Macaca fascicularis: one gene and its partners. The protein of the gene in region 5 binds, or shares a complex with, the protein of the main gene of each other region. Links are inferred from orthologs where the notes say so. Each region holds a gene or a part of one and is shown on either strand. Other genes may lie near its edges.

What was found.
Region 1: ACTR2 (region 5) and ARPC2 share a complex: the UniProt entries of both Homo sapiens proteins name them as parts of the arp2/3 complex. The link is inferred for Macaca fascicularis from reciprocal best matches to the Homo sapiens genes ACTR2 and ARPC2.
Region 2: the proteins of ACTR2 (region 5) and ARPC5L are in contact, whole or in part, in a cryo-EM structure (PDB 6YW6), measured with the Homo sapiens proteins. The link is inferred for Macaca fascicularis from reciprocal best matches to the Homo sapiens genes ACTR2 and ARPC5L. Residues at the interface, in NP_005713.1 of Homo sapiens: Tyr225, Glu263, Phe266, Gln267, Arg319, Lys322, Gln323, Ser338; in NP_112240.1 of Homo sapiens: Arg11, Arg12, Val13, Asp14, Ile15, Asp16, Glu20.
Region 3: ACTR2 (region 5) and ARPC1B share a complex: the UniProt entries of both Homo sapiens proteins name them as parts of the arp2/3 complex. The link is inferred for Macaca fascicularis from reciprocal best matches to the Homo sapiens genes ACTR2 and ARPC1B.
Region 4: ACTR2 (region 5) and ARPC3 share a complex: the UniProt entries of both Homo sapiens proteins name them as parts of the arp2/3 complex. The link is inferred for Macaca fascicularis from reciprocal best matches to the Homo sapiens genes ACTR2 and ARPC3.
Region 6: ACTR2 (region 5) and ARPC5 share a complex: the UniProt entries of both Homo sapiens proteins name them as parts of the arp2/3 complex. The link is inferred for Macaca fascicularis from reciprocal best matches to the Homo sapiens genes ACTR2 and ARPC5.

What each region holds. Positions count from the first base shown.
Region 1 is NC_088386.1:114,116,741-114,120,722, reverse strand, and holds the start of ARPC2 (actin-related protein 2/3 complex subunit 2), read right to left. Parts: upstream 2,801-3,982; 5' UTR 2,735-2,800; intron 2,516-2,734; 5' UTR 2,508-2,515; coding exon 2,434-2,507; intron 1-2,433. UniProt on the Homo sapiens protein: Actin-binding component of the Arp2/3 complex, a multiprotein complex that mediates actin polymerization upon stimulation by nucleation-promoting factor (NPF).
Region 2 is NC_088389.1:19,191,950-19,194,961, forward strand, and holds part of ARPC5L (actin-related protein 2/3 complex subunit 5-like protein), read right to left. Parts: intron 1,538-3,012; coding exon 1,466-1,537; intron 244-1,465; coding exon 67-243; intron 1-66. UniProt on the Homo sapiens protein: May function as component of the Arp2/3 complex which is involved in regulation of actin polymerization and together with an activating nucleation-promoting factor (NPF) mediates the formation of branched actin networks.
Region 3 is NC_088377.1:47,963,509-47,967,743, reverse strand, and holds the start of ARPC1B (actin-related protein 2/3 complex subunit 1B), read right to left. Parts: upstream 2,801-4,235; 5' UTR 2,749-2,800; intron 1-2,748. UniProt on the Homo sapiens protein: Component of the Arp2/3 complex, a multiprotein complex that mediates actin polymerization upon stimulation by nucleation-promoting factor (NPF).
Region 4 is NC_088385.1:117,318,444-117,321,943, forward strand, and holds part of ARPC3 (actin-related protein 2/3 complex subunit 3), read right to left. Parts: intron 1,695-3,500; coding exon 1,595-1,694; intron 1-1,594. UniProt on the Homo sapiens protein: Component of the Arp2/3 complex, a multiprotein complex that mediates actin polymerization upon stimulation by nucleation-promoting factor (NPF).
Region 5 is NC_088387.1:56,630,649-56,634,148, forward strand, and holds part of ACTR2 (actin-related protein 2), read right to left. Parts: intron 2,222-3,500; coding exon 2,089-2,221; intron 1-2,088. UniProt on the Homo sapiens protein: ATP-binding component of the Arp2/3 complex, a multiprotein complex that mediates actin polymerization upon stimulation by nucleation-promoting factor (NPF).
Region 6 is NC_088375.1:41,176,232-41,179,722, reverse strand, and holds part of ARPC5 (actin-related protein 2/3 complex subunit 5), read left to right. Parts: intron 1-2,238; coding exon 2,239-2,415; intron 2,416-3,491. UniProt on the Homo sapiens protein: Component of the Arp2/3 complex, a multiprotein complex that mediates actin polymerization upon stimulation by nucleation-promoting factor (NPF).

The DNA of each region.
Region 1 (3,982 bases), on a different chromosome or scaffold from region 5:
GAAGTTCTGGAATAGGCATGCACCTTGCTTTACCTTACTGGGATGCCTGGTAATTTCCGCTTGCTTCATTCGGGCTTCTGCTGGGTGATATATCTGTAATCCCAGGAGAGCCCTGCCTACTAGGCAGGATATTGTGGTCTTTTAAAAGACTTTCAAAGTTTCAAATTCTCAGCAGAATGTTCTGAGCTGCCTTATTGAAAACCAAATCTCAAAGAGGGAGATGGGCCAGAATGAAAGCCTAAATTTATACACACACACACCCGTACATGTGCACAAGCACACACAGCAGTGCACCCCCATACAAGTTCCCTACAATGCAAATCTTTGTAAAAAATGAGGACAGGCGCGGTGCTGTAATCCCAGCACTTCGGGAGGCCGAGGTGGGCAGGTCACCTGAGGCCAGGAGTTTGAAACCAGCCTGGCCAACATGGTGAAACTCCATCTCTACTAAAAATACAAAAATTAGCTGGGTGTGGTGGCGCGTGCTTATAATCCCAGCTACTTGGGAGGCTGAGACATAAGAATCACTTGAGCCTGGGAGGGCGAGGTTGCAGTGAGCAGAGATCGCGCCACTGCATTCCAGCCAGTGAGTCTGTCTCGGGGGGAAAAAAAAAATGTCCTGCAAGTCCTAACGTTTTTCTTCCAGACTTGAGGGCCTATTTAATCCCTCCGAAATGGTTAGCTGCTTCTTTTAAGAATAACTTTTTAAAAGAAGAAGAAAGAACTGAAGTTCCGAATAATGGGCCATATTTTGGAATCACAAGTCATTAATACACAAATAGACGAGAATGTACTCCTATGTTAAAAGACATGCCTCTTCTTGCAAATACACAGCCATTTATCTTGTAGATCAGTTTATAACCGCCCAGGTCTCATTCTTTGCTAGTCTGGACCTGAGAATGCATTAAGATCAGTTATGAAAATGCAGAAGTTAATTCAACTTCCTCCTATGTGCTACACTGCTCAGAAAAAAGTATACAGCAATCACCCAAAATAAGACTCTGGGCTGATTCATTTGAATATCTAAAATGCAAAGAAACTGGTAAGAGAGGCTAAGACAAGAAAGCAGCAAGTCAGCCTAAAATATAAGCAACTGCAGCCCCTGGCAGGAAACAGTACTGCTCACTACACATATTACTTCAAGGAAAGTAGTGCTTTGTTTTACAGATAAAATCTGTTGCCTTATAAAGGAGACAGGACATACTATATATTCAATTTAAATGGTAGTTAATACTTTTTAATGCCTCCAAGCCACAAGTACATTATGACCACTTAAAAATTCCCCTCTACCAATCTTTTCCCATCTGTGGATCTCCAAGTAGTTTCCTATTACTAGCTCCCAGTTCACCAGAAACAGTCTGCTCTTATTTCCTCAACTGTGAAACCCAGATGTGAAGCCCCATGCTTATAGATAGGGAAATGAGGCAAGGGGATTGGCCATAGGCCACCAAAAATTAGAACCCAAAACGCTTAGCTCATGTTTTAAATATATTAGAAAAGCAAAGCAGCTTTGGAGGAGGAGGTTGTCTTCTACTGATTCTTGTGTTTGGCAGAGAAGGCTGCCTTGGAAATACGACCTAAGCCCATCTTTTAAAAAGTCCAACTGTAAAGAGAGGTTATCTAAGAACTTTATAGATTCTGGAGGCTTTGAAGTGTGTAACTGGGCCAAGGCTACCACGGAAGAAATCACAGACCAAGGGTCTTGATGTAAGAATTTACAAGATAACCAGATAAAGGCTAGTGGGCGAGGAGAGAGCATTAGAACCTCAAAGGAGAGATAAGGAACGGGTGTGGAGCAAGGGACAATTAGCTTTGCTTGAAAACTATGTAACAAAATGGCCCAGTGTCTCTCACAGAAGGGTTCGGGAAAGGGAAACCAGAGATCGCGTTTTTCCGGCTCTAAGACTGGGTTGGCTTTCAGTCTTCTCTTCTGCTCCTTTTAGAGCAGACGGCAGCGGGGAACGAGAATGCTGGTGGCGACGTGGGCCTGCATCTCCTTTCCTCCTCCAGTCCTGGGAATTCCTGAAAACTCCTTCCAACCCAATTCCAAACAGGCTCTCTCTGGGTTCAGAACAATGCCAGGGAATTTCACGCAGGGAAGGGGTCCCCTTCTCGCCCTAGCGGGCAGGGGGCTCCTCCGGCGCGAGTTCCGGCCCCAGCGTCCCCACGTCCCACAGGTCTCCTGCCCTTTGGCACGCACAGCCCTCACCACTCGCTGCTTCCGCATCCCTCCTCTGAGCCTCTCCCCACGCATCTCTGCCCCTCGCCCGGCCGCGCCCAATCGCCTCCCACCTCTACCCCGCTGGGGCAGCCCCTACACCCTGCCAGGCACCCCATTTCTCTCCTCCAGGTCTGGGGGACTGGACGACACTGGGGATTAGCTGGGGTCAACTCTGCCTCCCCCGCCACCCCTGGCCCCGGGCGCGCGCTCACCCGGCGGCCGCGTTCTCGAACTTGAGCGCGAGCGTCTCCTCGATGATGCGGTTGTTCACCTCCAGCAGGATCATGGCGGCGGCTGCCCCGAGCAGGGGAAGGAGAAACAAGGGCCGGTGAGGGTGGGTAAGGTAGGGAAGGACGGAGGAAGCGGCCCTGCTGCCCCCTGAAGGGACCTGGGTGGGGTAGGAGGTTAGGGGAGAAGGGGAGAGGGGCCGGGATGGAGGGAAGGGTAAGACGCACGCGCTGGCCCACGCACGCAGACTGTGGAGACACCCACCCACCCAACCAACCAACCGACCTGGCCCCCAAAGCCTGAACCCGCCTGCCGAGCCGCCGCCGCCGCCGCCACTGCCGCTTCACCGACAAGTCCAGTCCCCGCCCAGCCCCCGGCTCTAGCCGGCCACTTCCGCTCTCACACCCACTTCCGCTCGCCGCCTGGACGCGCGGCCCCGCGGCGCCATTTCCGCTTCAACCCCTCGTGAACGCGAGCGCAGGCGCGCCGGAGGAAACGGAGACTGCGCTTGCGTATGTCTGATGCCGCCACCCCACCCTCTACTTTCTCACAGACCCCCTTACGTCTACAGCCTACCAGTGCGTCCCCCGCGGAGCTGTCATTCCCCGAGGCTTGCCTGACTGTCCAGGTTCTCACTCCCGCTTGTCCCAGAGATCCAACTCCGTTCTTCCGGTCTTGTCATTTCAGAGACCTCGCAAGAAGCTCGCCCTTGTAGTCTCCCAGCGGGCTTCTTTGCTCCCAGCTTGTTTGCTGGGCGTGCCTCTTTTTCTTTCCAGGTATAGCTGTCCAGCGACACCATCAGACATTCATTTCTCCAACAAACATTTTCATGGGCTCTTGCTCTATACTGGGGATGTAGTGGTAAATGAAATAGATGAGGCCCTGCCCTCGTGGAACTTATAGTCTGGTAGAGGAAACAGACAATAAAATTCTCAATTGTGTAAGGAGGTAGAGATGCATGGGGAGAGGATCAGAGTAGGGATGCGGAAGCAGCGAGTGGTCAGGAGTGTACGTACCAAAAGGCAGGAGACCTGTGGGACGTGGGAGTAGCTGGGGCCGGAACTTGCGCCGGAGGAACCCCCTTGCCCGCTGGGGCGAGAAGAGGACACTTTCCTTGCGTGAAATTCCCTGTATTGTTAAAAGGACAATTAAGGAAAGGAATGAGAGGTCACCTGGGTGAATAGGCAACTTAGATGGGCCTCCCTGTGTTTCTGTCATGCCTCCAATTCTACGTCCAGGTGTCCAGAACGCATTTTTTTCTGCTTTTGAAACCTTCCAGTACCTCTGGCAGAGATACACCCTCCTTGTTACCTGAGTGCGGAATCTTAACTCCTCTTTGTGCTACATCCGCACCATCTGCCTTAGTGCCTTGTTTTGTGTTTTCCCTCCTCCGGGGAGAATGTAATAAACTTAGCTGAGTCCCTTCCACATACAAGGAAATAATTTATTTTCTGTTACGTGTTTGGGGTGGGGATAAAAAAATGAACAAGAAACTAGCTCCTATCATTAAGGCACAGATAGTCCTTTGAAACA
Region 2 (3,012 bases), on a different chromosome or scaffold from region 5:
GGCCTGCTGATTGAACACTGGGGCAAGCCAGGTGGCTCACTTGGGTGCATGGCAGCGTTCACATACCTTTTCGTGCCACTGGAGTAACACTGCACTGCTATTTTCTGTGGGCTTCTCAAAGCCTTTATAAATGTACTTCATTAACAAGTCAACACCGTTTCTGTCCAGTGACTGCACAGCCTGCTCAATCTCGCTGCTCTTGAAGTTTGTGAGCACTTTCAGCACCACGCCCTGGGCTCGCTCCTGCAGACGAAAAAGAGCAAGTGAGGCCCAGAGCTGTGCAGGCCGCCATGCCCCACACCAAAGCAAGGACACAGGTTTCCAGAAACACCACGCAGTTTCTAATTCGTCCAGGATGGTTAAAATAAGCAAGCTAGAAGGTCTTTTGTGTATTTAAATTTCAAAGTATCTTTTATTTATGCCAACAAGTTATTCTACTTATTTTGGGGGGAATAAGTAGTTTACTAGGACAAGTATCAACTCTGAGAGAGAGAGAAAAAATAAAAACGAGGGAAAAAGAGAGGGAGAGAGGGGCAGGGTCTCGCTCTGTTGCCTAGGCTGGAGTGCAGTGGTGCAAGCTCAGCTCACTGCAGCCTCTCCCAGGCTCAAGCAATCCTCCCACCTCAGTTAGGGCTACAGGCACATACCACCATGCCCAGCTAATTATTATTTTTTTTAATTTTTAATACTGACAAAGTCTCGCTATGTTGCCCAGGCTGGTCTCAAACTCCTGAGCTCAAGTGATCCTTCCATCTACCAAAGTGCTGGGATTACAGGCATAAACCACGGCACCCAGCCCATCACTATTTTAGATGATACCAATAAGGCCTTATTATACTCCACAATGGTGGTGGACTATCAAAAAAATCAAACCAAGTTGACTTGGCTCCAGCATCCCTCTTGTATTCACACTCAGAAGGGTGGGGCCGTTTCCCAGAACTCTGTGAAGGTGCAGCCATCGGTGACATCAAGATGCTGTCACAGCTGCTAGAATTCCGGCTGCAGGGAGACCCCTTTCCCTGAACCAAATTTTAGCCTTGGTGATGCAGTAAGCACAATTTAGTTTTTAGAAGGTAGGAAAGCATACAGGTACTTAAAATCCTTGGGCAGACAAAGCCTATTCAGGCTGTAGGAGCATAAGCACCACAGGTGAGCGAATTCATGCATTTTCCTCATCAGCCAGGGCCAGGCTGACTTCTCAGCCTACGAGGCCGCGAGCGGGAGTGAAGGCTTCCGTGGGGAGTTTCTCGTATAAACACTGACAGCTTTGATGTCAGAGGAGCCTCACCACCTAGGGAGTGCCAGGAGGCTCCCGTGGAAGCACTGCCCAGTGCCAGCTCACTCCCTCTGATGCGGATGAAACGGACGCTGCCCAGAGCCCCGAGGAGCTCACACTCCCACTGGCCAGACACCCACAGCCCTGGTCCCAACAGCACCCAGCAGAGCCGCAGCGCCACCCCTTTACCTTCACAGCTTGATTCTTGGTGTTGACGGGTGAGTTCCGCAAGGCTGCATGGAATGCCCGAAGCATGTCCCCTGTGCATCACCACCAGTTAAGGATGGCTAGGCTCAAGCATGTCCACGCTGTCATTAACAAGCTCACTTCAGAAACAGCTCAGGGAACAGTCAGATGGGATCTCATCCATACCACCCACCTTCCACGGCTTCCAGGTGGGCAGAGACTGTTTACCGCCCACACGGGGAGGGTGCAGGGCACCTCTGCCAACCATGCAAACCCTCCTTCTTCCTCCCTCTCTACCTTCCCCATCAAAGCAACTGCCCTTGAGGGGTAACTTGCTGTAAAACTGGACTGCGCTCACTTGCACCTGCTTGGTGCTGGGCACTGGATCTCCCCTGCTGGATCCTCACAGCACCCGTACATGTGAACTGGAGGCCGTTCTCATCTTCTCACTCTAAAAAGGGGGAAATGTAGGTACAAAGGGAGATCTCCCAGTTCTTCATCAATGCTCTTCATCAATTAAACTATTAAGGAAATTTAGATGTGCTAGAACTTCTAAGACCTATTGGGATCAATGAGGTCCCAACTGTTACCTGGAAAGAGTTTATCAATCTAACAGAAGCTTTTGTCAACAATGAGCCAGTCTCCACTGTTACCCCCCCCCAACTTCAGTTGCAATCCTGACAACACATTCTTTGCTGAGTTCTGAATACCCAGCATGCAAAAGAAAATTACAATCTGGGTTAGGTCCCCAAAGGTGACACCTATTTTAAACTGAATTACATCAGCCAACTTTCATTTCCTCGTGTGAAACACTGGCTTCAGCCAAAAAGCTTCAAAAATAGAACAAGGAATGGCTTCTGCCCAATCGGGTCTCTACTCCTCTTCACGCAGTGATACCCACGTGCAGACAGGAAGGGCCTTCGGAGCAGAGCTGAATCTCCTGGCTTCCCCAGTGTGAGCTCCATCTTGAGTGAGCTGGGTCTGCGCCACCAGGCGAGCCACTCCCAGCCCTGGTTCCCCAGCTCCCTGCTTGGCTCTGATCCACCTTCCACACTCAAGAGGCAGCCCAGTCCCTCTGTCTTTCAGCTCTGGAGTTTCTTTTCCCCCATCCAAACAAGGCCAGCCTGATATCAGCCACTGATAACCGCTACCTTTTTAACTCTTTTTTTTTTTTTTTTTTTTTGAGATGGAGTCTCGCTCTGTCGCCCAGGCTGGAGTGCAGTGGTGCCATCTCGGCTCACTGCAAGCTCTGCCTCCCGGGTTCATGCCATTCTCCTACTTCAGCCTCCCAAGTAGCTGGGACTACAGGCACCCACCACCACACCTAATTTTTTTTTTGTATTTTTAGTAGAGACGGGGTTTCACTGTGTTAGGCAAAATGGTCTCGATCTCCTGACCTCGTGATCCGCCAGCCTCGGCCTCACAAAGTGCTGGGATTACAGGTGTGAGCACCGTGCCCGGACCTTGTAACTCTTTTCTAAGGTGGTGGCCCCAAAGGAATAAGCAGGATCCCATAGGCTGAACAGAAAACATAGGCTCACTTGCTCTTC
Region 3 (4,235 bases), on a different chromosome or scaffold from region 5:
CCAGCCTGCCCAACATGATAAAACCCTGTCTCTACTAAAAATACAAAAATTATCTGGGAATGGTAGCAGGCACCTGTAATCCCAGCTGCTTGGGAGGCTGAGGTAAGAGAATCACTCGAACTCGAGAGGCAGAGGTTGCAGTAAATTGAGATTATGCCACTGCACTCCAGCCTGGGCAACAGAGTGAAACTCCGCCGTCTCAAAAAAAAAAAAAAAAACACCTATAAGGCAGGCATGGAGGTCCATGCCTGTAACCCCAGCACTTTGGGAGGCCAAGGCAGGAGGATCACTTAAGGCCAGGAGTTTGAGGCCAGCCTGGACAACACAGCAAAACCCCATCTCTACTAAATATTTAAAAATTAGCTGGGCATGGAGGCACATGCCTGTAATCCCAGCTACTCAGGAGGATCCCTTGAGCCCAGGAGTTTGAGACTAAAGTGAGTTATGATCAAGCCATGGCACTGCAGCCTGGGCAACACAGTGAGACCGGACTCCAAAAAAAGAAAAAGACCTATCAATGGATTACGTACAGACATATGTAAGAAACGAACTTTACTGGCATCTGGCAAGGCAATTTTACCCAGAACTTTCACCATTCTCTCTTTTACACCCTGAAGCAAGCCTGGACATTTTTTGTTTGCTTTTTTTTTTTTTTTTTGGAGACAGAGTCTCACTCTGTCCCCAGACTGAAGTGCAATGCCGTGATCTCAGCTCACCACAACCTCCACCTCCCGGGTTCTAGCGATTCTCCTGCCCACCACCATGCCCGGCTAATTTTGTATTTTTAGTAGAGACGGGGTTTCACCATGTTGGTCGGGCTGGTCTCAAACTCCTGACCTCAGGTAATCCGCCTGCTTCGGCCTCTCAAAATGCTGGAATTACAACCGTGAGCCACCCACACCCAGCCTGTTTGCTTTTTACCTTCAGTTTGTACCAGAGGAAACCCAGCCTGACAAAGGCAATGATTTGCTCAAAGTCACTCGGCTCCTACTAAATGACGAAACTTGGGACTCTGACCCCACATCTTGGAGGCCAGGAAGTTAGTTTCACCTGGGGGCACACTATGATCAAGGTGAGCAACAAGCACACGTTTATACTGTCAGCACCTGACACGCTGCCAAGTGTCCTGCAGTATTGCATTGCAGCCTTACAATCCTTAAGGTTCCCATTTTCCAGATAAGGAAAGTTGAGGCTGGCAGGGGTTGGGTAGCTTACCAGTCACTGGCCAGTGAAGGGAGAAGCTGGCACTCCTACTTAGATCCCTAAGATTTTATTTATTTATTTATTTAGAGATGGAGTCTCCCTCTGTTGTCCAGGCTGGAGTGCAGTGATATAATCTTGGCTCACTGCCAAAGCAAGTTCAAGCGATTCTCCTGCCTCATCCTCCCGAGTAGCTGGGATTACACGTATGCACCACCATACCTGGCTAACTTTTTTTTTTTTTTTGAGTTGGAGTCTTGCTGTGTTGCCCAGGCTGGAGTGCAAATGGCGTGATCTCAGCTCACGGCAACCTCTGTCTCCTGGGTTCAAGCTATTCTCCTGCTTCAGCCTCCTGAGTAGCTGGGATTACAGGTGAGCGCCACCATGCCTGGGTAATTTTTATAATTTTAGTAGAGACGGGGTTTCACCATGTTGGTCAGGCTGGTCTCGAACTCCTGACCTCAAGTGATCCGTCCACCTCGGCTCCCAAAGTGTTGGGATTACAGGCATGAGCCACAGCGCCCGACTGCATTTTATTTATTTATTTTAATAGAGAAGGGGTCTCGCAGTGCTGTCCATGCTGGCCTCCAACTCCTGGCCTCAAGCGATCCTCCCGCTTGGGCCTCTCAAAATGCTGGGATTGTGTGTGTGAGCCGCCGCGCCCGGCCGGGATGGGTGGTGGTAGCCTCCGGGCTGCACTGGCAGAGGAGGCAGGGGGAGGTCTGACTCCCCAGGGCTTGCCCTCCTGATCTCTTCTCTGCCCGCGGGTGCAGCCCGGCCCAGCCCCGCCCCGCCCTGGGCGGCCTGGCTGCTCTCCCTGCGCCTCCGGAAAGGGAGGGGCTGCCCGGATCTGCCCTGGCCGCGGAGCCCCGCAGCTGAGGGGTGCGTTCCGGGACTCCACCGGCCAGGCCCGCCCTATACGGGACCCCTCGGACCTGGCCCAGGGGAGGCGGTTGGGAGCAGCGGGAGCGGCCAGGAGGGCTGGGGCGGGGCGGCCGGGGACGCCAACTCATTTCCCGGCGGCTGCAACCCGGAAGGCTCCGGGATGGAGGGGAAGTGACTGGGCGTGGGGCTCCGCCGGCCCGAAGTAACGGGGCTACACCGACCGACCGCGGGGCAAGGCCGGGGATGCGGGCCCGGGAGCAGGGGCGGAAGGCACGAGGTGGAAGGCACGAGGCGGACGCTCGGGACCGGGGGCTGGGGACGCCCCGAGGGCGCCCGGTGCGCGGGGAGCCCGCGTTTCCACGGCCTGGCCCTGTAGCCACCCCCGCGCCCCCTCCAATCCCAGGGTTCCCTCTCCTTTCCGCGAGCCCCCCGTCCCCGCGCCCCCTCCTCTCCGTGCGCCCTCACTCATCCCCGTGCCCCTATTGGGCGGCGCCCCACATCCATGCGTCCTCCTCACTTCCAGGCGCCCCCCGGCCCCCTCCTTGCACCCCCTCTCATCCCTCCCGTCCCGCTCACTCCCAGGCGGCGCCCCACATCCACGCGTCCCCCCACCTCCGGATGGCTCCCCCGACCCCCACCTCCCGGCGCCCCCGCGGCCCTCACCTCCCGCGCCCCGGCCGCGGACTCTGGGCAGTCGACGCGCCGAACCGGCTCTGGGCTCCGCGCCGGAGCCGCAGCCACTTCCTCGTGGGCGGGGGGCGGGGCCTCCCGACCTCAGCCCCGTAGGGCCCGGGGGCGGGGACCTGGGGCAGCGGTCGCGAGATCCAGGTCCCGCCCTCCCTTCGGGGTGGGGGTGCTGCCAGGACCGGCGCAGACGTCGGAGCCTAAGGCTCTGTCCGTAGAAGCCGTCCGCAACCTCCCGTCAACGCTTTACCAATGGGGAAACTGAGGCTGGGAGCCAGGCGCGCAGCCTAAGCTGCCGCTGGGCTAGACCTCCGAGCCTGGGCCGGGCGCACGGCCACCGGGGGCTGCCGGGCGCAGGGTCGGGGAGTCGCGTCCTCTGAGCCCGGACGGCGGGTACTGCGGGCTCTGCGCTCCCACGCAGGTGAGCGGCTGGCGAGCCCCGCAGCCCCGTCCCCAGCCGGCGAGGAGCCCCCTTCACGCTGATACCCGCGGGGCGCCAACTGTGCAGGCCTTGGGCGGGGCGCAGGCGGTCGGGCATGGCCAGGGCAGCCCGGCCCCGCCCCCTCGGCCCTCGGTGTCGTCGCCACAAAACCGGGGTGCCGTCCCCGGGCAGGGTGACACTGGCTGCCTGTGCTGACGCTGGCCGGCCAGCTAACTTCTTTCCTTTCTGTTTCACGTCAATCGGCTTCACTTCTTAAAGTTACCGGGTTGGCCTTGCAGCCACCTAATTGCGGGTCTTGAGCCAGGTGGTCCCTGGAGTCTCCCCATCCTGACCCTCTGCCTCTTCAGTGAATACGTGCCCAGGCGGCCAGACACATGGAAGAGCCACCGATGAAAACCTTCCCTCGGCTAGTCGCGGTGGCTCACGCCTGTAATCCCAGCACTTTTGGAGGCCGAGGCGGGAGGATCATGAGCTCAGGAGATGGAGATCATCCTGGCTAAGACAGTGAAACCCCGTCTCTACTAAAAAATACAAAAATTAGCCAGGAGTGGTGGCGCATGCCTGTAATCCCAGCTACTCGGGAGGCTGAGGCAGAAGAATCGCTTGAACCTAGGAGGCGGAGGTTGCAGTGAGCCGAGATCGCACCAACACACTCCAGCCTGGGCAACAGAGTGAGACTCTGTTTCTTTTTTTTTGTTTGTTTGTTTTGTTTTGTTTTTTGAGACGGAGTCTCGCTGTGTCGCCCAGGCTGGAGTGCAGTGGCGCGATCTCGGCTCACTGCAAGCTCCGCCTCCTGGGTTTACGCCATTCTCCCGCCTCAGCCTCCTGAGTAGCTGGGACTACAGGCGCCCGCCACCGCGCCCGGCTAATTTTTTGTATTTTTAGTAGAGACGGGGTTTCACCGTGGTCTCGATCTCCTGACCTTGTGATCCGCCCGCCTCGGCCTCCCAAAGTGCTGGGATTACAGGCGTGAGCCACCGCGCCCGGCCGAGACTCTGTTTCAAAAAAAAAAAACCGCTGCAAG
Region 4 (3,500 bases), on a different chromosome or scaffold from region 5:
ATTTGTTGAATATAAATGAATTAGTGTGATTAATACTGTTATTTAGCTCACAGCACAGGCCTCCATTCCAATTCAGGTGTTTTTCTTTTTTTTTTTTTTTTTCCTTTTGAAACAAGAGTTTTGCTCTTGTTGCCCAGGGTGGAGTGCAATGGCATGATCTCAGCTCACTGCAACCTCCACCTCCCAGGTCAGCTCACTGCAACCTCCACCTCCTAGGTTCAAGCGATTCTCCTGCCTCAATCTCCCAAGTAGCTGGGATTACAGGCATGTGCCACCACACCTGGCTAATTTTTTGTATTTTTAGTAGAGACGGGGTTTCTCCACGTTGTTCAGGCTGGTCTCGAACTCCTGAACTCAGGTGATCCATCCACTTCGACCTCTCAAAGTGCTGGGATTAGAGGTGTGAGCCACCACGCCTGGCCTTTGCAGTGTAATTTTTGTTTTTTTTTTTTGAGATGGAGTCTCACTCTGTCGCCCAGGCTGGAGTGCAGTGGTGCAATCTTGGCTCACTGCAACCTCCACCCACTGTGTTCAAGCAATTCTCCTGTCTCAGCCTCCTGAGTAGCTGGGATCACAGGTGCCCACCACCATGCCTAGCTAATTTTTGTATTTTTAGTAGAGATGGGGTTTTGCCATGTTTGCCAGGCTGGTCTCGAACTCCTGACCTTAAGTGATCCACTTGCCCTGGCCTCCCAAAGTTCTGGGATTACAAGTGTGAGCCACTGCGCCCAGCCCTGTGATTTTCTTTTATGTTATTTTTCTTCTCTCTCAGGTTGTCTTCTTCCTTGTTCCTTTTCCTCAGAATCAAGTAGAGACTGTGGTGACTCACCATATTTATAAAGTTTACTGAGCTTTCAAATGGTGTTGAAAACAAAATTAAGTTAAAAAAAGGTCAAGTCAAACAGTCTGGCAGAGAAATGGGAATTGGATCAGTACCAAATTGATAATTATAATAATGGTCTTAGAAACCATGAATGGAATTCAGTTCAGACCCTTGCAGGGTACAGGGAAACCGTGTCTAATATAATACAAATAATACTGTTGGAAGAACATCTCAGAAAGCGTCAGAAGAGTCTCAGACAGTGTCTGAAAAATATTGCAGCTTTCTGAAATAAAACTCAGAAAAGCAGGAATAGACATAAGTAATGTTACATAGTATACTTCAGATTTAAGATTGAGGTATTGCTAAAAATGAAGATCTTGAAGAATGAATAAAGGAAGTAGATTTAGACGGGGAAGAGGTCAAAATATTTGTTGTTTTCTTCCAGGTTGATAACAGAAAGGATGGGCATGTGGCATTCTAGACATAACAGCATTAGATTTGTTTGAAAGAACTGATAAACAGTGTCCAGAATTAAGCACATTTCCTCCATTTTCTCAAAAGAGTTTCCTGGAGAAGTCAGAAGAAATAATACAATTTCCTATTAAATGCAACATATAACCACTATCTTGAAAGGTCTAGACCACAATATCTACCAAAGTACAAGGACAATTTGAGAGAGAAGACTGAGCTAAGAATTTCCCTGATTTGACCATTTTAGAAGACTGTTAGGCATTTCATGCCAAAATTTGAAAATAATGGGTTTAGACTTACTCTCTCTGGGTGCAGGTCCTTTGAATTGACTTCTAATAGGTAACAGTGCCATGTTTCCGATGAGTTTGGTGTCAGGATCCATGAGAGAAGAGTGGTAAGCCTGTAATGGCAAGCCCAGGAAGAACACAGAAGCAGAAAGAGAGCAAATGTCACTGTGGCAAACAACCTTTCCTTAAAGGAAAAAAAGAGTAACCCACCCAAGATTAATCAGGGGAGGGAGAAGGGATAGCAGCATTGAGGTGCTAGAGCTGGTTCTTTCTGGCTCAAGAAAACCAACTGTTAAATTATGAGGCATTTTTCAAGCTGGTTGTTAAACACAGCTGTTCTCAAAAATCAAATTATATAAACTTACAATTAAGTAAATGATGTTGGCCGGCGCAGTGGCTCACGCCTGTAATCCCAGCACTTTGGGAGGCTGAGGCAGGCGGATTGCCTGAGGTCAGGAGTTCGCGACCAGCCTGGGCAACACAGTGAAACCCCATCTCTACTAAAATACAAAAAATTAGCCGGGCGTGGCAGTGTGCGCCTGTAGTCCCAGCTACTTGGGACGCTAAGCTGGAGAATCACTTGAACCCAGGAGGCGAAGGTTGCAGTGAACCAAGATCATCCCACTGCACTCCAGCCTGGGCAACAGAGCGAGACTCTGTCTCAAAAAAAAAAAAGTAAATGATGTTAAAACCAATGATGCTTAAATATTCATCACTACTTCTTTTTTTTTTTTTTTTGAGAAGGAGTCTCACCATGTTGCCTAAGATGGTCTCGAACTCCTAAGCTCAAGTGATATGCCTGCCTCGGCCTCCCAAAGGGCTGGGACTACAGGCAAGAGCCACCTCACCCAGCTACTGCCTACATTTTATTTTTTTGAGACGGAGTTTTGCTCTTGTTGCCCAGGCTGGAGTGCAATGACGTGACCTTGGCCCACTGCAACCTCTGCCTCCCGGGTTCAAGCGATTCTCCTGCCTCAGCCTCCTGAGTAGCTGTGATTACAGGGATGTGCCACCACGCCCAGCTAATTTTGTAGTTTTGGTAGAGAAGGGGTTTCTCCATTTTGGCCAGGCTGGTGTTGAACTCCCGGCCTCAGGTGATCCGCCCGCCTCGGCCTCCCAAAGTGTTGGGATTACAGGCGTGAGCCACTGCACTGCACTTGGCCTACTTCCTAAATTTTTTTTTTTTTTTTTGAGACGGAGTCTCGCCCTGTCACCCAGGCTGAAGTGCAGTGGCGCGATCTCTGTTCACTGAAACCTCCGCCTCCTGGGTTCAAGCGATTCTCCCGCCCAGCTTCTTGAGTAGCTGGGATTAGAGGTGCGAGCCACCACGCCCAGCTAATTTTTGTATTTTTAGTAGAGACAGGGTTTCACCATGTTGGTCAGGCTGGTCTCAAACTCCTGACCCCATGATCCGCCCACCTCAGCCTCCCAAAGTGCTGGGATTACAGGCATGAGCCACCGCGCCCGGCAATAACCTAATTTTTAAAAATTACATTTTCCTATTGTCATGTTCTTAAAGTTATTATTACGAAATACTAAATAATGGGGTGCTGCTGTGCATCTCTTCCAATTCTATGTTTGGTGACATCACATTGGTATCTGGTCAAAGTATTTCCACCACAGAAAGACAAACATCATATAAATCAGGGTACCCAGCCCCCAGCTAAACCAAGACCCAAGCACTATCTTTTCAGCTCTGCCACTTCCTGGCGTTATGCTTTGACCAAGGCATCATTCTTCTTCTCTTAGCTTGTTTCCAAATTTGTAAAATGAGAATATATATATTCCCTTCAGTGGGTAAGTGTGAGTTAAAGGAAGGGAGAAAAAAATCACATTTATGAGAGCATTCTGTATGCTGATTCTTAGTTCTGCTTTTTACAAGATGCCTGGCTTTTTATAAGACAACATGGGTCCCATTC
Region 5 (3,500 bases):
GCTAGAAGGTGCCCACAGACAGTAAATGACAACAGGTAACATTATGTAAACAAATGGGCTTGGCTGTGTTCCAATAAAAGTTAAAACAAAACAAAACAAAACAAAACAGTTTTGGCATAAGGGCTATAAATGCCCACCTCTGCTCTAAGGGAAACTTAGCTAGCTCCTGAAGACGCTGCTTCTGTAAATATCTCAACTGCTTACTGTTTCTCTCTCACACACTACCTTAACCCTGGAGGTTTGGTAATATGAGTTCTTGCTCTTCATTGCTTCATCTTGCTCATCCCTAAAACTCCATAGCTCCAATGAAACTCATTCTATCAGATTACTCCATTTACCACTCCCTCCTTGCTGAACTCATGCACCTGCTCTCAAGCAGCTGAACAAGATAAGAAAGATACAAAACATCTTGCTTCAATGTATCACTAACCTCAACTGAGCTTGCTGCTGCATGGTAATCCTATTACATTTCTCTATTCTCTTCCATTCTCCAAAACAACCATTGCAACCTCCTCCTCTAGTCTAAAACTCTACCATCCCTTCCCTCCTCTCAGTGCCTCCTAACTGGTCTATGCCCACCTTTGTTCCCTCTTCCCCCAAGAGTCTATTCAACACACCAGACTTAATGAGCCCTTAAAAATATACATCAGATCCTATCATTTCTCTGCTTAAACCGCCCCGGCACCCAAGACTTTCCATTTCACCAGGAGTCAAGCCAAACCCTTTACCATGGCTGAACAAGACCTGCCCTCCTGCTACCCTTCTGACCTCATATCCCACGTGTCCTCCTCCCTTGCTCTCTCTGCTCCAGCCACACTGGCACATTCCCACCAACCTGGGGCTTTTGCATTGTTCCTGCCTATAAGATTCTTCCCCCAGATAGCTGCATGGCTCACTCCTCTCACGCTCAACTTAGGTCTCTGATCAAAAGTCACTTCACCCAGAAGGCCTTAGGCCTTTCCTGATCACAGTTTATGAAGGAGCACACAACCTCTCCAACCACTAACAGTTTCCAGCTCTTCACCTTACTTTTCTTCATATCACTTATTACCACTAATACATTATTTAGACTAAAAGTAGGGATTCTGTTTTCATTGTTTTGTTTGTCCCCAGCACCTAGACCTATGTCTGGCACCCAGGAGTTCAAGAAATGTTTGCTGAATAAATGATCACCTGAGATCAATTATAAATTATATGTAAAACTCAATAAAATCAGAAAAATGAGTGAAGTACCTAGACAGCACGGCTCCTTTCGAGTCTGTTAATCTGTTTAATGTATGTGAGCCCATACTCAATTTAATTTCAACAATTTGAGTCATATATGAAAGATGTAACATACAGTACTCTATAATACATAATCTCATTATCTAAAATAGTTGATCAAAGTCAGTGAGACAAAGCTCAGAGATTAACTCAAGATTAGATAACTCTTGGTTGAGTATACAGCACATACTGTATATTTCACATAGTCCAGAGTTTGGTGGAAAAAACACACAAACCCATGCCAAAGAAACATCAACTATTACTAGTTAAAAAATTTCTTTCTACTGTACATACCAACAACTACCAATTAAAGTCTGTTTCAAGAGCTATGACAGTTACCGGGATGCAAAAAAATATGAGACATGATGTTTTACAATCTGACGGAGGAGAGAAGACAACATATGTAACAAACAAAGTCAGAAATATGAGACAGCCCAAGAGAAGTGCTAAAGGCTGATTGCATATCCAAAATAAGTTTAAAAAAAAACAAAAAAAAACAAAAAAAACCTCAAGTGGGGCATTTATTCCCCCATAGTACAGCAGGTTCTTCTTTTGCACATAGAGGCGCCTCGGAGTCTGTGCTGGTTGTTACAGATGAACCAGAACTTTTGGCCCTGACCTCACTGCCTCCATCCATTGACTATAGAGGTGACCAGAGCTTATCTTGAACTATTTCCCTCTTCCTGTCATTTCCAGACTGCACTTGACTGCAGTAGGAATTTGTTTTGGAAGACATCTTGCCCCCTCTGGTGGTTGTCAAGATTCACAAACTACTGTACAGTCTTTTAAAAGAATGTTAATAATAGTTGATTTACTAATACTTACAGAAAGTTTTTCCACATCACCCTTCAAAACTCGTTCTAAGTAAAGCTGTTTAAGTTCTCGTTCCAACCGTGATGGCAGGCCAGGATACATAGTAGACCCTCCAGAAAGCACAATGTGTTTGTAGAATTCAGATCTAGAAAGACACAATGGTTATTCATTTGGAGTTTTAGGTTAGGAAAATGGTATCTCACGGTTACTGTTACTTATGTCAGCCTCATGGGGTTGCTGGGAGAATTAAATAAAATTCCACATGTAAATCACAGGGCTGAATATTTGCTGTTATTACTACTGTGAAGTAATGACCCCTCTTTACACATAAAACCTTTTTATAATTTTGATGAAAATACTTCTAAAAGTATATAATACATTTTTTTTGTGTGAATGTAACTGAGACTTCTAATAATGACCAAGATTTATATTACAAACTTCTAGTACTTGGACTATGTTGTCACATGCTTCCCTAAAGCCATTGAAATGTGGTGATTTACTATAATTAGCCCTATTCTACTTTAATCCAGAATTCCTGCTTTTTAATTTTTTATTTATCTTTTGTAGTTTTCTCTTTTTTGTTCCTTTGCTTAGAGGCTGTCTGCTGTTATTTTTGGCTAGACTGATGTGTATGCTTCTTATAGCAGCACCCTCTTTTTTCCTTAAATATGCTGTTGTCTATGATATCAGATAATCCAACCTAAAAAGACTGCATATGTAGTAAAAGTAACAGAATCTGAGTGAGGGTCTGAGGAATAATACAAAGTTTGGGAGCTGATTTGCACCCATTTTGGCCTTATTCAAACTGGCTTCCAGGTTGTCAATGGCTAAAGCTACTGCAACTCCAACAAAGCATTGTTTTTGTATTTAATTGCCAAAGCAAGCCTGGTGAATGTCGCATAAACTAAGCAGTTGAAATACAGATTCACGTGATAAGTACACATAAGCATTTACATGTACATTTTCAACATGCAGAACACACGAAACAAAATTTGAGTTATTCCACTTTGCAATGCCAACTCTGTGGAGAAGGTACTGAATCTGACTCCACGCTTTGGGAACGTCGAAGCCCTAATCAGCAACAACAGGCATGTACTTTTTTTTTTTTTTTTAAATATACAGAGTCTCACTTTGTCGCCTGGGTTGGAGAGCAGTGGCGTAATCTCGGCTCACTCCTCCGCCTCCTGGGTTCAAGCGATTCTCCTGCCTCAGCCTCCTGAGTAGCTGGGATTACAGATGCCTGCCACTACACCGAGCTAATTTCTTGTATTTTTAGTAGAGACGGGTTTCACCATGTTGGCCAGGATGGTCTCGAACTCCTGACCTCGTGATTCGCCCGCCTCAGCCTCCCAAAGTGCTAGGATTACAGGCGTGAGCCACCACGCCTGGCCAGCATATACTTTTAAATACAATTCTGCTGTGAA
Region 6 (3,491 bases), on a different chromosome or scaffold from region 5:
AAGACGCAGTGAATTCAAATAGTGAAATCATTTGTGTGTGTTTTTAGAGGAGACCACTCAGGCTGAATTTGAACAAAGGTTTGAAAAATAAGTTAAACCTTTACAAAAATAAACAGATTGTAATTGCTTTTTAAAGATTTTTTAAAACTGTACAAATACTAAATATTTATTATAGAAAGCTCAGACATATGGGAAGGTTAAAAAGATAGTCATTTATAGTCCCACTACCCAGAGATAACAGTTACTACTTTGGGGCCTTGCTATATTGTTAGAGTTCCCTTTTGTTTTTTAAGAATGAAATTTTATAACCTGCTTTTTCGGCTGTATGCAATGTACAAGAGATTTCCTTCGTAATAAGTTTATTTCTATAGCATTTTTAACAGTTGTATATGGATAAGCTGCAGTGTATACATAACTAATCTTTTGTTATATATTTAGACTGACTTTTCCTATTGTGAACCACTGAAATGAATATTTTTTGGTAAATTTTTAATTGTTCTCTTTGAATAAATTGCTAGCAGTGAATTACTGGATCAAAGAACGCACTTTTTTAAGGCTTTTGGTACATGTAGTATTGCCAAATTGCCCTTCAGAATGGTTGTGCAACTTACATTCTCTGCAGTCTTTTAGTAGTTCTTAACCTATTTAAGTATTTATTTAAAATGATGCCCATAGCATCAACCTCATTGTCCATAACTATTCGTACATCCTAGGAGCTTCAAGAATCTCAATTGAGTAGTAGTAGGTAATAACTTAGGTAAATGTGTAATAATTATCTAGGTAACATAATTTTTTATCGGGGAAAAATTGCTTTGGTTTTTACAAGTTGTAAAGAATGTCGTTGAAATTTCATTTTTACCCTGGATGCAAAGATATGTTTTCTAAATCTGGTGATTGCATAGTCTTTAAACCAAAGATAACAATAGGTAGTAGAAGCATTGTGTGAAATCCTGACCAGTAGGAATGCTGGAGGTAGCCCTTTGTGTTGAATGGAAGAAGAAACGAATTGTTGAAAAGGTCAGTTAAGTGTTCCCTTTGCTTGCTTGAATGGGTAAGAAAATAACTGCTTTTGAAGCAGGCTTTTGCTAAAGAAAAAAGATCATTATTAATGAACATCACTATATTTCGTATCTACAGTCAATTCATATAAATTACAATTTTCTTTTAAGACAGCTTTGTTTAAAAATTTTAAAAGAAAGTTTTTAAGAAAAAATTACTTCTGAAGAATAATTCAAGGTAGAAATGCAAATTGCTTCCTTGTTTTGTGGGGTTTCTTTTTTTTTTTTTTTTTTTTGAGACGGAGTCTCACTCTGTTGCCCAGGTTGGAGTGCAATGGCGCAATCTCTGCTCACTGCACTCTCCGCCTCCCGGATTTAAGCGATCCTCATGCCTCAGCCTCCCGAGTAGCTGGGATCACAGGCACCTGCCACTATGCCCGGATAATTTCTGTATTTTTAGCAGAAACAGGATTTTACCATTTTGGCCAGGCTGGTCTTGAACTCCTGACGTCAGGTGATCTGCCCATCTCGGCCTCTCGATGTGCTGGGATTACAGCTGTGAGCCACCACACCCGGCTGTTTTGTTGGAATTTTGTTTTTAAGATCAAGACATAAAATTTAAATGTTGTTTTAATAAATTGTTAAATTATCACATTGATCTGTTAGCAAATCCTCTTGGCTCTGCCTTCAATTATGTCAATAGTCTGTCTAGTTTTTAACCACTTCCACTGCTACTGTGCTCACCACATCCGGCCTGTATTACTGCAATTACCTCCTAATTGCTCTCCCTGCTTCTGCCTTATCCCCTACCCCCACTGCTTATTCTCTGTAACGTAGATGCCAAAGCGATCCTGTTAAAATGTGAGTCAGATTATGGCACTGCTCTTAAAACCTTCCAATGTCTTCTTATTTCTCTCAGTAAAAGCCAAACTCCTTACAATGCCTGGAGGCCTTACACGATCTGTCCTCCCATAACCTCTGACTTGCTCACCTGCTTTTCTCCCACCAGTCCACTCCAACCACATTGGGTTTTTTTCCTATTCCTAGAACACACTGAACACACACTAATAGTGTGTTCTTTCCTCTGTCTGAAACACTTTCCTCAGTTATCCCAGGCCTTCCTCTTTCACGTCCTTCAGGTCCTTACTCAAATGTCACCTTCTTAGTGTGGCCTTTCTGAAATTCTAAACCATCCTCATACAGATACGTCTAAATGTTCTGTTATTTATTTACTCACCAGGACCGGGCAGGCAGCATTGTCTTGAAGGTGCTCATCTCTTTTAAAGCTAATGATATTGAAAAGGCAGTTCAATCTCTGGACAAGAATGGTGTGGATCTCCTAATGAAGTATATTTATAAAGGATTTGAGAGCCCCTCTGACAATAGCAGTGCTGTGTTACTGCAATGGCATGAAAAGGTAAATTATGAATTATAAATCTACATAACTGGTTCTTTTACAATAGGGGATGACAGTGACGACCTCTCTCACCTGAATAACCATTTTGACTTGGTTGTACATTTTTTTATTACAAATAAAATGCATGAAAATGATAGTTCATATTTATGTTTACTAGCCTTGGTCTTAAGAGATTCTAATTCCAACACTTGTGTTTATTCAGCAACGATTATTAGTAATTAAACATAATCTTGAACTCTAAATTAAATCAAAACTTTGTAAAAGAAAATAAGCAGTATAAATCAAGAATTCTTTCACAGTGACCAAAGGGTGAAAACAACACAAGGATCATCAACAGATGAACAGGTAAATTGTAGTACATACATACAATGGAATATGATTCAACCATAAAAAGGAATGACATTCTGACACATACTATAACATGAGTAAACCTTGAAAACATACCAAGTGAAATAAGCCAAATACAAAAGAACTAATATTTTATAATTTTACTTATATAAAATAATCTAAGATAGGCAAAGACAAAGGGACAAAGTCCTTAGAGGTTACCAGGAAGTAGGAAAAGTAAGGAATAGGGAGTTAGTGCTTAATGGGTACAGAGTTCCTGCTTGGAGTGGTAAAATTATGGAAACAGATAGTGGTGATGGCTACAATACATTGTAAATGTAATTAATGCCAATGGATTTTACGCTTAAAGATGGTTAAAATGGCAAATTTTGTGTTAGATATTTTACAACTTTTTTTTAAAGAATTAGGGGTTTGGAGGATCAAGAATTCTTAAATCATTTTTTTCTATTTTCATGCATATATTTTGCAATGTAAGTAGATGCTGGTACATCATCTGTCAAAAGAGTACAAGGGATTTTGAGCTTTGGGTAAAAAACTGGATAACATGTAAATAGAACCAGCCATAAAAATATTAAGTGTTTGAAGTGTATCCGAATGAAAACACACACATAAGAGAAAAGTACATAGTAAACTTGTTGTTTAGCCTTGGTCAAGTCACTTTATCCCTCATACACTATCAAAAAGAACTAACATTTATGGATAGGGTAACCATTCCTCACAGTTTTCCC